3 linked regions of the Coturnix japonica genome follow. Each later gene encodes a partner of the first gene's protein in a complex. Links are inferred from orthologs where the notes say so. Each region holds a gene or a part of one and is shown on either strand. Other genes may lie near its edges.

Region 1 (4,201 bases):
TGCAGCTTTCAGCTTAAACCAATAACACTCTTGCAGGTGGAACACCAGCACCGTGTCATTAGTATGATATTAGGTATGGTATTATTACTATCTCATATAGTATTAGGAATGGCTAAGGGCTTTTTGCAGTGTTTTTAAGGTCATGATTGGAGTTATGTACAACCAATACAACATTAAGCACTTGTATCTTTTATGTACACATAAAATACCCTTTCCAGGCTGTTATTTAAGTGTGCCACTGACCGAAGCACTGCGAGTACAGCTCCCTTCTCACAGGACAGATGCCGGTCTCCCTCGCCTGCCGCTGTTGCAGCTTCAGATCCAGCTGCTCCTGCAGCTGCACGACGTCCAGCCGGGTGCTGGGAACACTGGACACCTCCTGCACCCACAGCCGGTTATCCTCCTCCCATGACCTGCACCGGAAAGCAGCAGCGATGGAGCTCGGCGGGGCGGTCCTGAGTTAAGGCTCTTGTTGTTCCCCCCTCCCCGGCTCACCGCGGCGGTAGGATGGCGTTCAGGATCTCCTGAGGTTCCTTCGTGGAGGCGGCGGAGGCGGCAGCAGTGCGAGGTCGGGACGGAGGGACAGGGCCTGATGGCGGGGAGGCCTGTGGGGTTCCCTTCAACGGTGAGGCCTGAAGGGAGAAAGCGGTGTGAGCAGGATGGGTGAGGTGTGAGGGCTCCCCCCGTCCCATTCAGAATCACAGAAACACAGAATTATCAAGGTTGGAAAAGACTTCACTAGGAGAGTGGTGAGGCCCTGGAACAGGCTGCCCAGGGAGGTTGTGGATGCCCCGTCCTTGGAGGTGTACAAGGCCAGGTTGGACGGGGCCATGGGCAACCTGATCTATGGGGTCTCTATGGGGATCTATGGGGTCTCTATGGGGGTCTATGGGGTCTCTATGAGGATCTATGGGGTCTCTATGGGGATCTATGGGGATCTATGGGGGATCTATGGGGTCTCTATGGGGTCTCCTGGGCAACCTGATCTAGTAAATGTGTATGTTTGGTGGCCCTGCTTGGCAGGGGGGTTGGAACTACATGATCCTTGAGGTCCCTTCCAACCCGGGTCATTCTGTGACCTAGAAGATCATCTAGTCCAACCATTCCCAATACTTCCCAGCTAAATCATATTCATCAACACAACATCCAGATGTTTCTTGAACACTCCCATGGTCAGTGACTCCACCACCTCTTTGGGCAGTGCATTATAATGCCTGACTACCCTTCCTGAGAAGCAATACTTCCTAATATCCAGCGTGACTCTCCCCTGACACAGCTTAAAACCATTCCCTCTACTTCTATCATGGATTAGAGGCTCACTACAACCTCCCTTCTAACTTCTAACTAAGGGAGTTATAGAGGGCTATAAGGTCTCCCCTGAGCCTCTTCTTCAGGCTGAACAACCCCATCTCCCTCAGCTTCTTCTTATAAGTCCCCATTATGCTCCAGACCCCTCACCAGCTTCATAACCCTTTTCTGAATGTATTCTCAATGTCTTTCTTGCAGTGAGGTGCCCAAAACTGAACACAGGGGGACAATTACCTCCCTGTTGCTGCTAGTAACACTGGTTTTGATACAATATAGGATTCCTTTGGCCTTCATGGGCCATAATATCGGTTCATATTCACTCACCTCTGGTGATCGCTTCTCAGTACGGCGACTCACCAGCATGGGCGGGTTATAACGCAGCAGCGAATCGGGCGGTGGGATCATGGCGGCTCCTCGGTCGCTATGGTTATAAACGCCGCTCCGTTGTTTGTTCTAAAGGCGCATGAGCGTTAGGTAAAGATGTAGTTCCGGGTGGTTGAGAGAGAGGTAACACGGATGTGAAAACGTAATTCCGGTTGTGGGGGGAGTCGGTAGCAAGATGGAGGCTGAGAGTGAGAGGAGGAGGAGGGAGAGAAGGAGGGGGGAGATGGCGGTGAAGGCCGAGAAGCGCAGCCCACGGAGCTGCGGGTCCCGTTCGGCTTATGGGAGCCAATCCCCCCCCATTGAGGAGCGACGGGGCAGGAGCAGCAGGTAGGAGGCCTCATAGGGCCTTATTACGGCCCTGTATCGTAACCCTGAGGTTCTGTGCATTTCTTGTGTACTTGATTTAAAGGTCGCCTAAAAGGAAGAGTAAATCCGGCCGGAGGAGCAAATCACCGCGGGGGAGGAGGAGCAGGAGTCCGCACCATGGAGGTGTGAGGGTAAAGCAGGTAAATGGCGTTGGGAGAGGCCAGGCCCCACAGATCCCCATAGAGACCCCACAGATCCCCACAGAGATCCCATAGACACCCCATAGAGCCCCATAGAGACCCACTGAACCCCATACAGACCCCATGCAGACCCCATAGAGCCCCACAGACAACCCATAGATCCCCAAAGACACCCCATAGATCATGTTGCCCATGGCCCCGTCCAACCTGGCCTTGAACACCTCCAAGGACGGGGCATCCACAACCTCCCTGTGCAGCCTGTTTCAGGGCCTAACCACTCTCCTAGTGAAGAACTTCCCCCTAACATCCAACCCAAATCTTCCCTCTTTTAACTTAAAACCATTTCCCCGTGTCCTGCTATTGTCAGCCCTTTCCAAGAGTTTACTCCCCTCCTGGGAGTAAGTTCCCTTCAGGTATTGAAAGGCTGCAATGAGGTCACCCCGCAACCTTCTCTTCTCTAGGCTGAACAAACCCAACTCCCTCAGCCTGTCCTCATAGGGGAGGTGCTCCAGCCCCCTGATCCCTCTAGAATAACTCTTAAGGAAGAGAGAGTCTTACAGTGTAACATCTCCTTGCTCTCTGCTTCGTGTTTTCCTGGAAAGAACTGAGTGTTTGTACCTTTTAGTGAGCCCAGCCCCTGTTATTCCTGTAAGAAAATGAGTATTTGTGCCTTTAAGTGAGCCCAGCCTGCAGGCTGACCCTGAAGGCTGATGTTATGATGCATTGCTCTCTGTCAGCCTTGCATTGTTGGGCCCAAGTTGTGGGAATTCACTTTGGAAGGAAATAAATAAATCTAGATATACACGTACCATGTTACAGTCTGTGTTTTTCATGTGTTTTCTGTCTTCTTCCTCAGGAACGAGACGATCATCCTCACAGAGGAAATGAAGAGAGAAAGCAGAGACACACGTCAGAGCAAGAACACAGACGAGATAGAAGCGGTGACAGAGACAGGCACAGAGATCACTCAGACAGGAGGAAAAAGGAGGAAAGACCTGGAGGTCGAGGCCATGAGAGAGAAAGAGATGTTCAGAACATCCGTGAGCAACAAGCAGAGAGGGAGTTCTATAACGAAAGAAGACGAGAGCATCGACAGAACAACGAGGGGAGCGGTGCTGAGCAGAATCCAGAACACAAACAATCTGATAACAAACCAAAAGATAAAGCTGTAAACAAAGAAAAACCAAGCTTTGAACTGTCTGGTGCCCTTCTGGAGGATACCAACACTTTCCGAGGCGTTGTGATTAAATACAGTGAGCCCCCAGAAGCTCGGATTCCAAAGAAACGATGGCGTCTCTATCCATTTAAAAACGATGAGTTCCTGCCTGTCATGTACATTCATAGGCAGAGTGCTTATCTCCTGGGCAGGCACCGCAGGATAGCAGATATCCCCATTGATCATCCCTCCTGCTCAAAGCAACACGCTGTGTTCCAATACCGGTCAGTATCGCTCTGTATCCCTCTGGTAGGTGGGGATTATTTGGTCGCTTGCGTGCAAAGGGAATCAAAGAACGTATTGGATGTGCACAGATTAGAAAATGCATGTTTGCTCAATGGTTTTAGATAGGTGGAATTTAGGTATGGATGTAACATATATGTAATTCCTTTTTGTTTAACCATAAGCAGCCTCGTGACTCTTAACATATATATAATTCCTTTTGGTTTAACCATATCTAGACTTTTAGTAAGAAACACAACACAACAGGATGAAATACAGAACTGCCTGTATATCTGAATTGGAGTTATTAGCAGGTGGGATTGGCAATAAAGAACGTTTAAAGGAGGGTTTTTCATTTGTTCCTTCCCAACAAAGGCTGCCGATCTCCTTTATAAACAGCAGGGTTGTGTGCTTCAGGAGGCAGAGCTGCTCTCTTAAGGAACAACCATCTGTTCTGCTTCAGGATTTACTATGTTATATGATCATAACTTTAAGGGGTGAAGCAGTCTGTCAGAATCTTGAGTATTTCCGTGCCCTGTCTAATTATTCTCATTGTACTTGCTCA
Region 2 (4,201 bases), on another chromosome or scaffold:
ACAGCCCCACGGGCAGCAGCTCCCCCAGCCCTCCTGCCCCACTGTAGGCTCCTCTCCACAGGCTGCACCCTGGCCTGGGGCTGCTCCGCCTCCAGGACTCTTCCACTGCTGCACAGTGGGCTCCTCCATGTCTGCATACGGAGATCACAGAATCACAGAATGACCCGGGTTGGAAGGGACCTCAAGGATCATGTAGTTCCAACCCCCTGCCTGGCAGGGCCACCAAACATACACCTTTACTAGATCAGGTTGCCCAGGGCCCTGTCCAACCTGGTCTTGAACACCTCCAAGGACGGGGCATCCACAACCTCCCTGGGCAGCCTGTTCCAGGGCCTAACCACTCTCCTGAGTGAAGAACTTCCCCCTGGTATGATAGAGTGCGAGTGCGCGTTGAGGATGCCTAAAATATCTTTCCCTCTTTTTAATCTCTAAAACATGTCCCCCTTAGTCCTGCTATTATCAGCCCTTTCGAAGAGTTTACTCCCGTCCTGGGAGTAAGTTCCCTTCAGGTATTGAAAGGCTGCAATGAGGTCACCCCACAACCTTCTCTTCTCCAGGCTGAACAAGCCCAACTCCCTCAGCCTGTCCTCATAGGGGAGGTGCTCCAGTCCCCTGATCATCTTCGTTTCCCTCCTCTCGACCCTTTCCAAAATCTCCATGTCTTTTTTGTACTGAGGGCTCCACACCTGGACACAGTATGAGAGATGCGAGATGTGCCTGTGGGCTGCAGGGGGATGGCTCGTTCCCCTGTGAGCCTCTCCTGGGTGCTTAGGAAGGGCCTAGTTCAGGTTCTGTGCTTATTTTTGCAGGGAATTCTTGCTGACTCGTGGATTTTTCTCTGTTGAGAATAGTCACAAGGTCTCTTCCTCATTGCAAAGCCATTGGCAGCCATCAGGAAGCAAAGGCAGACAGTGGAGCAGGAGCTGTGACTGAGCACAAACAGCCAAAGAACCAGCGGGGTGGGAGGCAGCCGGGAGGAGCTGGGATGACTCTGTAAGCACACAGAAAAGCAGCAGCACAAGGGTTCTATGGCAGCACAGCAGGGTGTGTGTACTGCTCACAGTCATACACGACTTTAAAGCACAGCTCACACGCAGTGCTGCTGTACCTCAGGGCGGACAGCAGGTGCCACTCAGGCACCAACAGCGTCTATTTCCACTTCATTATCGAACATGGCGGACTCAATTCCGCACTGAGGTAACAAGTTTTTCCGCCTTCCATCTCTATGGTAGTTCCTCCTTCCGCCGCTCCGCTCTGTGGTGGCTGCGCGGCGCCTTGTGGGTAGAGGGCGGGATGATGGCGGTGGCGTAGGGCCCGGCTGCTCAGCGGGAGGAGACCCCGAGGTCAGAGAAGGGGGATTGAAGGGATTAAATCGGGGCTTCTGAATGTGGAGGGTCGGCCCTGGGGTGGTGGGCAGCCTGGGGGGACACCGGGAGGGAGGTTGAGGCCGTGGGGCGGCCTGGACGGGCCTGGGAGAGCGCCGATGGAGGCGGCTCAGCCGAGCCGGCGTTGTGCGGCACTGACGGGGCTGCTCCAATGCTGCGCTGATGGAACCTGATCGGAGCAAACCCCTGGTTGCCCCCAGCAGCTCAGGCTGCACAGGGCTCATCCAACCTGGCCTTGAGCAGGGATGGGGCACACAGCTCTATGGGCAGCTGTGCCAGGGCCTCACCACCTTTTGTATGTCTCTTATTTAAGTCCTTAGGCTGTGCTTATGGATGTGTGTAGTTTCGTTTAACAGACTGAAGATGGCACTGATGGGTCATCCAGGGTGGTTGGTTGGTTTGATTCTTTTGTTTTGTTTGTTTCTTGGTGGACTGCCCTAAACTTTTGGCTCTATGGTTTGGGTCTGCGTGGCCTCCAGCTGCTTTGTGCAGTGCTGAGCACTTCTTGGCATCAGTTATATGGGAGCCATAGTGGTGAGGCTGGTCTCTTTTCAGTAGTGTGTTGGGACAGGACTAGGGGTAATGGGATGAAAGTACAGCATAGGAAGTTCTGCACGAATGTGCACAAGAACTTCTTTACAGTGAGGGTGACGGAGCACTGGAACAGGCTGCCCAGGGAGGTGGTGGAGTCTCCTTCTCTGGAGATATTCAGGACCTGCCTGGACGCCTACCTGTGCGACGTGGTGTAGGGAGCCTGCTTTGGCAGGGGGGTTGGACTCGATGATCTCTAGAGGTCCCTTCCAACCCCCACAGTTCTGTGATTTCATTATTAGATCCTGTGTTTTTTTCCAGAGGGGAAAGAATTACTCTTCTACCAAGATATAAGGATAGGAGACTGGCTCCTGGCATTTTATCCACTTCTATAAACATGACCTCACATTCTTGATTGAGTCTCTATCATCTTTCAGGCATGTTGGAAAAGAAGCTGTCAGTAAAAGAAGCTCTTAAGCTTTAAGGCTCATGCACCAGTTGATAATTTGTATTGTGTAGTGGGATTTGCTGTTGCTGCAGCAGTTCCAAGAATGACGTAGCTTCTGGTGAATGGCTTTCACTTTAAGTTATAGTAATGACTGTTTTTTGCCCTTGACTCTAGTAACTAAAATGACGACAGCAGCGAGGCCAACGTTTGAGCCTGCAAGAGGAGGGAGAGGAAAAGGTGAAGGAGACTTAAGTCAGCTATCCAAGCAGTATTCCAGCAGAGACCTTCCCTCTCATACTAAAATCAAATACAGGTAAGTATCGTTATTGTCTGTCTTATAGCAAAGCAGCCTGGAGCTGTTTTGTTGTTTTCTTTCTTTGTGATGTGACCAACACTCTGAATTTCTTTCACGTTAGATATTTGTTTGCTTGACATTAAGCAGACACAGAAGCAGGCTTAGGAGATTGAGTGGGTTGCAACTGATTTGGAAGGTTTAGTTTTAGTGGTGTCAATAACTGCTTGTGGAAGGGAATCAGGAGAAGGTAATCTTTACAGATTAAGCATTTCAGGCAATGGAGTGAAAAGAAAAGCATTGGGAACATACAGAGACAGCTGAGCTAGAAAGGTGGTGTGACTTACAAGATGGGATAGGAGGTATGAAGTTGAGTATGTCATATATTGGCAAAGAACCTGGGGAAGAGCACTAAGAAGAGGCAGGGCAATGTGTAACAGCACTCAGGCATTAGTAAGTATTGGAAGAGCTGATGTTAAACACTAGAAGGGTTCTAGAAGAGCCTGTTGCTTTAACTGGTGTGAAAGATAATGGGATTTTATATGAATACTATCCTGTGTTTGGAATGCTTAATAATTTATGTTCTTTTAAGATAGCATGAAATCTGGAGTCAACATGCCACAGGATTTAACTGAGTTGTGTCAGCCTGAAAATAGTCTTTTTTTCTAGCTTAAACTGTTGCTTGGGTTTTGCTTTCTTAGTGCAGATATTTACCCTTTCACTGCTTCCCTTCCACCCATTTGAATAACTTTGAAGGTAACATGGATACGGGAGGTGGGATGTTCAGAGATCACCAAAAGCAACAGCACAAAATGTGCTATTAAGGGAAAAGTGGCTGGTGGTCTGTCTCTTTAAACAGAGCGGGAGTGTGGAGCACCAGTCTGTTGTTCTGAAATGAGTGTGTGGGAAGAAATACATACAGGAATATACGATGTGTGTGTGGTAACGAATCCCTTTGAGTGAGTGTGTATGTGTGTGTGAAGGGGCATTAAGCATCTTAAGTTCATTCTCCCAAATATCAAATACAAAGTTGTCTTTGCTAATTTGCCAAGGGCTGCATAATTGCAAGAAAGATTTGGTATTTCAGTCCCACTCTCCCGTGCCTCTTTGACAAAAGGCCTGGGGGGGATTTTTGCAGCCATGTCAGGGATTCTGAATTCAAGTTTTTAATTGTAAAAGCAAATGAAATGCTTCAGCATAAAGACAGCTTGTGCACGCAGTGTATTTCTAATGACTGGAGCCTGGGTTTCTTTCAGACACTCTTATTTCCAAACCTGAGTTCACAGCAAGGTGAAAGGAATTGCTGCATGTTGTTATTCATCAGTTCTTCTCAAGTCTTGCAGAGAAGTCCAGCATGTTCTAGGTGGAACTTTGTGTGACTTGAATGAAAGCAGCCTGTTGATTTTTGCCTGTGTATATTATATAAAAGAGGGGAAAAGATGCACTTGTGTTTTACTAAAGCGACTGTTGTGCTCATTCCCTCCATATTTCTTTCTTTTCTTTTTCCCCTGCAGTGGTACATTGTCTCTTCTGTCTTATGGGGAG
Region 3 (4,201 bases), on another chromosome or scaffold:
TCACTTGAGTTTTGAAGTTGGAATCTCACGCTTTAAGCTGTGCTGTGTTGCCCCTCCAGCATACACTGGAATGGCTGAAGGCCTCCAGAAGGGCCTAAGCCTGCAAACATGAGACTCCCATCTGTCTGCAGAGGGCACCTTCCATTTACTCTCCCTGATCAGGCTGGAGCTGCACACTGCCCTGTCTCCATGGCTCTCGGCTCTTTAATCCTTATTGTTTGCCTGGTTCCTCCCCCAGACAGAGCTCCATGCAGGAACGCCGCTCTCTTTGCCCTGCCTCCTTTGTGGATACAGAGCATCATTTCAGTGTCCTCATACAGCACAGCATTAGGTGGGTTGGTGTGTTAGTCTGTTCTGACACGAGCAGTGCTGTGTGCAGTTTGACAGGGATGATGGCTGGGTACACCAACATGGGGCAGGTAAGTCACCGGGCTGGGGCCTTTCACCCCTGTAGCACAGCAATGAGCAGAGCAGCAGCACAGCATCCTGCAGCAGCAATGGCTGCTCACGCCGTGTTGTGCCCCATAGGTGCAGGTGTGGGACACGGCCGGGCAGGAGCGGTTCCGGAAGAGCATGGTGGAGCACTACTACCGCAACGTGCACGCCGTGGTCTTCGTGTACGACGTCACCAAGATGGCGTCCTTCACCAACCTCAAGATGTGGATCGAGGAGTGCAACGTTCACGCCGTGTCCCCCCTGGTCCCCAAAGTGCTGGTGGGGAACAAGTGTGACTTGAAGGACCTGATCCAGGTGCCGTCCGGCATGGCTCTCAAATTCGCCGACGCTCACAACATGCTGTTGTTCGAAACCTCGGCCAAGGACCCTAAAGAGAGCCAGAACGTGGAGTCCATCTTCATGTGCCTGGCCTGCCGGCTCAAGGCGCAGAAGTCGCTGCTCTATCGCGACATGGAGAAGCGGCCGGGCCGGGCGCAGAAGCTAGAGCCGTCACGTGACGCCCACGGTAAAAGCGCGTGTCCGTGCTGAGCGCCGACCAATAAAGCTGTGCGGAGCCCTCGGACTCGTTGCTTTGCTTGGCGCGCATGCGCGGCCGGGGCGGGGGCGGAGGCGGGGGGGTAAGGGGGGCGCATGCGCAGTGCGCGCCGCCGCCGCCATGAAGTAGGTTTGGATGGGGGCTGGGTGAGGGGGGGGTGTGCGACCGGCCGGTGCTAACGGTGCTAACGGAGTGCATCGCCCCCAGCCCGCTGACCAAAGTGAAGCTGATCAACGAGCTGAACGCGCGGGAGGCGGAGCTGGGCGTGAGCGAGGCGGTGTCGTGGCACGCCGAGTACAAGGACAGCGCGTGGGTCTTCATCGGTACGTGTAGGCCGCGATGGGGGGACGGGGAGGGAGGAGAGAGCAGGGCTGTGGTAGGCCCTGTGCTGGGCTCCGTGCTGGGCTCCATGCTGGGCTCCGTGCTGGGCTCCGTGCTGGGCCTCCATCGCTGCCCTGTCTCCCCCCGCAGGCGGGCTGCCCTACCAGCTGACAGAGGGGGACGTCATCTGTGTGTTCTCGCAGTAAGTTCCTACCTGCTCCATCCCCATCTTGCTGTGCCCCTCCAGCCCTGCTCTGTGGCTGCTGATGGTGTGTTCCAGGTACGGGGAGGTGGTGAACATTAATCTGGTGCGGGATAAGAAGACTGGGAAGTCCAAAGGGTTTTGCTTTTTGTGCTATGAGGATCAGAGGAGCACCGTGCTTGCTGTTGATAACTTCAATGGGATCAAGGTGAGTGATGGAGCTGTGTGGCTGCAGCAGCTCCTGGAGCGCTCAGAGCACATCAGAGAGAAGCTCCATCGGCTGCTGGCCCCACAGCACACGCTTTGCTGACTACCTGACTCCTGTCCTAGATCAAAGGCAGGACGATCCGAGTGGACCACGTGGCCAACTACCGGACTCCCAAGGACTCCGATGATTTAGATGATGTCACAAAAGCCCTCCATGCAAAGGGCTGCGGAGTGAAAACACCACCTCATACGTCGTCAGATTCCTCCTTGGAGGATGAAGACACGCCAGCCCAAAAGCAAAAAGGTGAAATGCATTTCTGCCCATCTTTGCCCTGGGTGGGAGGATCTGTGTGGGCTACAGGGACTCTTAGCTCAGCGTACAGCAGGGATAGGGATCCTCTTGAAAACAGATGCAACCCGAATGTCCAGGCTTATCCTCTGTGATCTGCGTCACACTGCCAGTATTTATCTATGATCATTCACCCCCTGCCTCTGGAGATCCTTATTTTGCAGGTTATAGTGGCACTCTTCCTGGAGAAAAGGAGTTGGGCTGGGCTGCAGGGATGTTGCAAGGGGGAGGGGGCAGGACAGTGGGGGACAGGGAGAAGAAAGGCTCCAATAAAGCCTTTCTCTACAGAGCTCTGGTGCTCTGTAGCAGAACTGGTGGGGATGATGCTTGCAGGACTGTCCATCTCTAAGGATGACCTTTTTGTTTCAGATAAAGAGAAGAATAAACATGAACGGCAAAAGCAGAGCTCTCAGGCTGCAAAGAGAGCAGCACCTGCCGAAGAGGCACATCCGAGAATCAAGATTAAAAAGGAGAAGGAAGATCCTGGCTACGAGCGATATGCTGCTGGTGGGGGTCAGCAGTCCTGCAGTGAGTCTGAGAGGAAACACGTGAGCAGGACGCAGCGAGATGAGGAAGAGCAGAGACACCAAAGGTCGTCGGGGAGGAGAGGGGAAAAGAGCTCCCAGGAACACAGAGGGCAGAACAGCTCACGGGAAGAGAGAGGAGAGGTCAGCAGGAAGGGTGAGGGACACAGCAGCTGGCGAGAAGAGTGTTCTGAGGGAAGCAGATCCAGGCACCGGCGGGAGAGCAGCAGCAGAGAGCCCCATTCCAAGCACAGGGAGCGTGGATCCACCAGAGATTCCAGCCGTCACTGAGCCCTGGAGTGAGCACCTTCTGGGCCACAGCTGTGCTCTGTGAGCTGCACCGGGAGCCTGTCTGAAGCCTCCTGCTATGGCCCTAAGGGTACCACAGCTGTGTCTCGTCTCACACACACCACTCTGACCGGTTCACTCCTCAGACAGGTTGCTCTCAGTGCTGTGGGCTGTGATGTGGGCTCTGCTGCTGCCTTGCTCGGCCCTTCTGTGCAGTGGCATCACTCAGACGGTTGTGGAGGGGCTCACGGCACAGTGTGGGCAGTGGGGTGCTGAGCAGCAGGATACGGACACCGAAACTGCCCACGTTGTTCAGGGGGAGCGTCCCTGTCTGCAGTGGGGCGGTGGGTGCTTGCAGGCGGGCACGGTGCTTTGTGCCCCCAGCCCGTCCTGCTTCCTTTGTTTATGTGATGGATATCAGAGGCTGCTGAGCCATCGCAGTTCATGGCGTTTTTTGTTTTAAACTCCTTTTAATAAAAATCGATCCTTTAACCAGAGGAGATGACTGGGAGCACTGCTTGTGTCCGGTTGTGCTGTTTGGACTGAGCATTGATGGCAGCTGACACAGAAATGGGGAGCGCACAGCAGTGGATCTGAGCTGCGCTTTGCTCTCGGGGTGGTTCCGGTCGGTCCCGTGCCTGCAGCGCTCTCCCGTCTCCTCCCCGCCGTTCTCGGGCGGTGCCGCTGGATCCCAATTGCGGGCCGAGCTGCCGGGTCCGCCCGGCTGGGGGGCGCAGTGCTTCCCGTTCCGCCGCGCTTCCGGTTCCGGGTGGAGTTGAGGCAGTGTCCGGCCCGGCGCGGCGGCGCGCCCCGCCATGCCATGTCCGCGCTGAACTGGAAACCCTTCGTGTACGGCGGGCTCGCCTCCATCGTGGCCGAGTTCGGTGAGCTGCGGCGGGTACCGGCGGGTACCGGCGGGTATCGGCGGGTACCGGCGGGTACCGGCGGGTATCGGCGGGTATCGGCGGGTACCGGCGGGTACCGGCGGGTATCGGCGGGTATCGGCGGGTACCGGCGGGTACCGGCGGGTATCGGCGGGTATCGGCGGGTACCGGCGGGTACCGGCGGGTATCGGCGGGGCGCTGACGGCCGGTCTCCCCGCAGGCACGTTCCCCGTGGACCTGACGAAGACGCGGCTGCAGGTGCAGGGCCAGAGCGGCGATGCGCGGTTCCGCGAGGTCCGTTACCGCGGCATGTTCCACGCGCTGTTCCGCATCTGCCGCGAGGAAGGCGTCCGCGCGCTCTACTCGGGGTAAGTGCGGGGCCGAGGGGCCGCGCTGCGGTACCGCCCCGCTGGCACGTAACGCCGCCGCTTGTTC

The links.
Region 2: SNIP1 (region 1) and CWC15 share a complex: the UniProt entries of both Homo sapiens proteins name them as parts of the minor spliceosome. The link is inferred for Coturnix japonica from reciprocal best matches to the Homo sapiens genes SNIP1 and CWC15.
Region 3: SNIP1 (region 1) and RBMX2 share a complex: the UniProt entries of both Homo sapiens proteins name them as parts of the minor spliceosome. The link is inferred for Coturnix japonica from reciprocal best matches to the Homo sapiens genes SNIP1 and RBMX2.

Annotation. Positions count from the first base shown.
Region 1 is NC_029538.1:3,337,975-3,342,175, forward strand, and holds the start of SNIP1 (smad nuclear-interacting protein 1), read left to right. Parts: upstream 1-1,843; 5' UTR 1,844-1,867; coding exon 1,868-2,019; intron 2,020-2,101; coding exon 2,102-2,198; intron 2,199-3,054; coding exon 3,055-3,638; intron 3,639-4,201. Other genes in the region: DNALI1 (axonemal dynein light intermediate polypeptide 1), read right to left, coding at 244-413, 496-632, 1,633-1,713. UniProt on the Homo sapiens protein: Required for pre-mRNA splicing as component of the spliceosome. As a component of the minor spliceosome, involved in the splicing of U12-type introns in pre-mRNAs. Down-regulates NF-kappa-B signaling by competing with RELA for CREBBP/EP300 binding.
Region 2 is NC_029516.1:165,900,394-165,904,594, forward strand, and holds the start of CWC15 (spliceosome-associated protein CWC15 homolog), read left to right. Parts: upstream 1-1,174; 5' UTR 1,175-1,197; intron 1,198-1,231; exon of another isoform or gene 1,232-1,343; intron 1,344-2,538; 5' UTR 2,539-2,546; coding exon 2,547-2,677; intron 2,678-4,201. UniProt on the Homo sapiens protein: Involved in pre-mRNA splicing as component of the spliceosome. Component of the PRP19-CDC5L complex that forms an integral part of the spliceosome and is required for activating pre-mRNA splicing.
Region 3 is NC_029519.1:1,522,006-1,526,206, reverse strand, and holds RBMX2 (RNA-binding motif protein, X-linked 2), read left to right. Parts: upstream 1-1,062; 5' UTR 1,063-1,111; coding exon 1,112-1,116; intron 1,117-1,198; coding exon 1,199-1,314; intron 1,315-1,462; coding exon 1,463-1,514; intron 1,515-1,592; coding exon 1,593-1,722; intron 1,723-1,844; coding exon 1,845-2,025; intron 2,026-2,439; coding exon 2,440-2,885; 3' UTR 2,886-3,393; downstream 3,394-4,201. Other genes in the region: RAB33A (ras-related protein Rab-33A), read left to right, coding at 529-984; SLC25A14 (brain mitochondrial carrier protein 1), read left to right, coding at 3,703-3,766, 3,987-4,134. UniProt on the Homo sapiens protein: Involved in pre-mRNA splicing as component of the activated spliceosome. As a component of the minor spliceosome, involved in the splicing of U12-type introns in pre-mRNAs.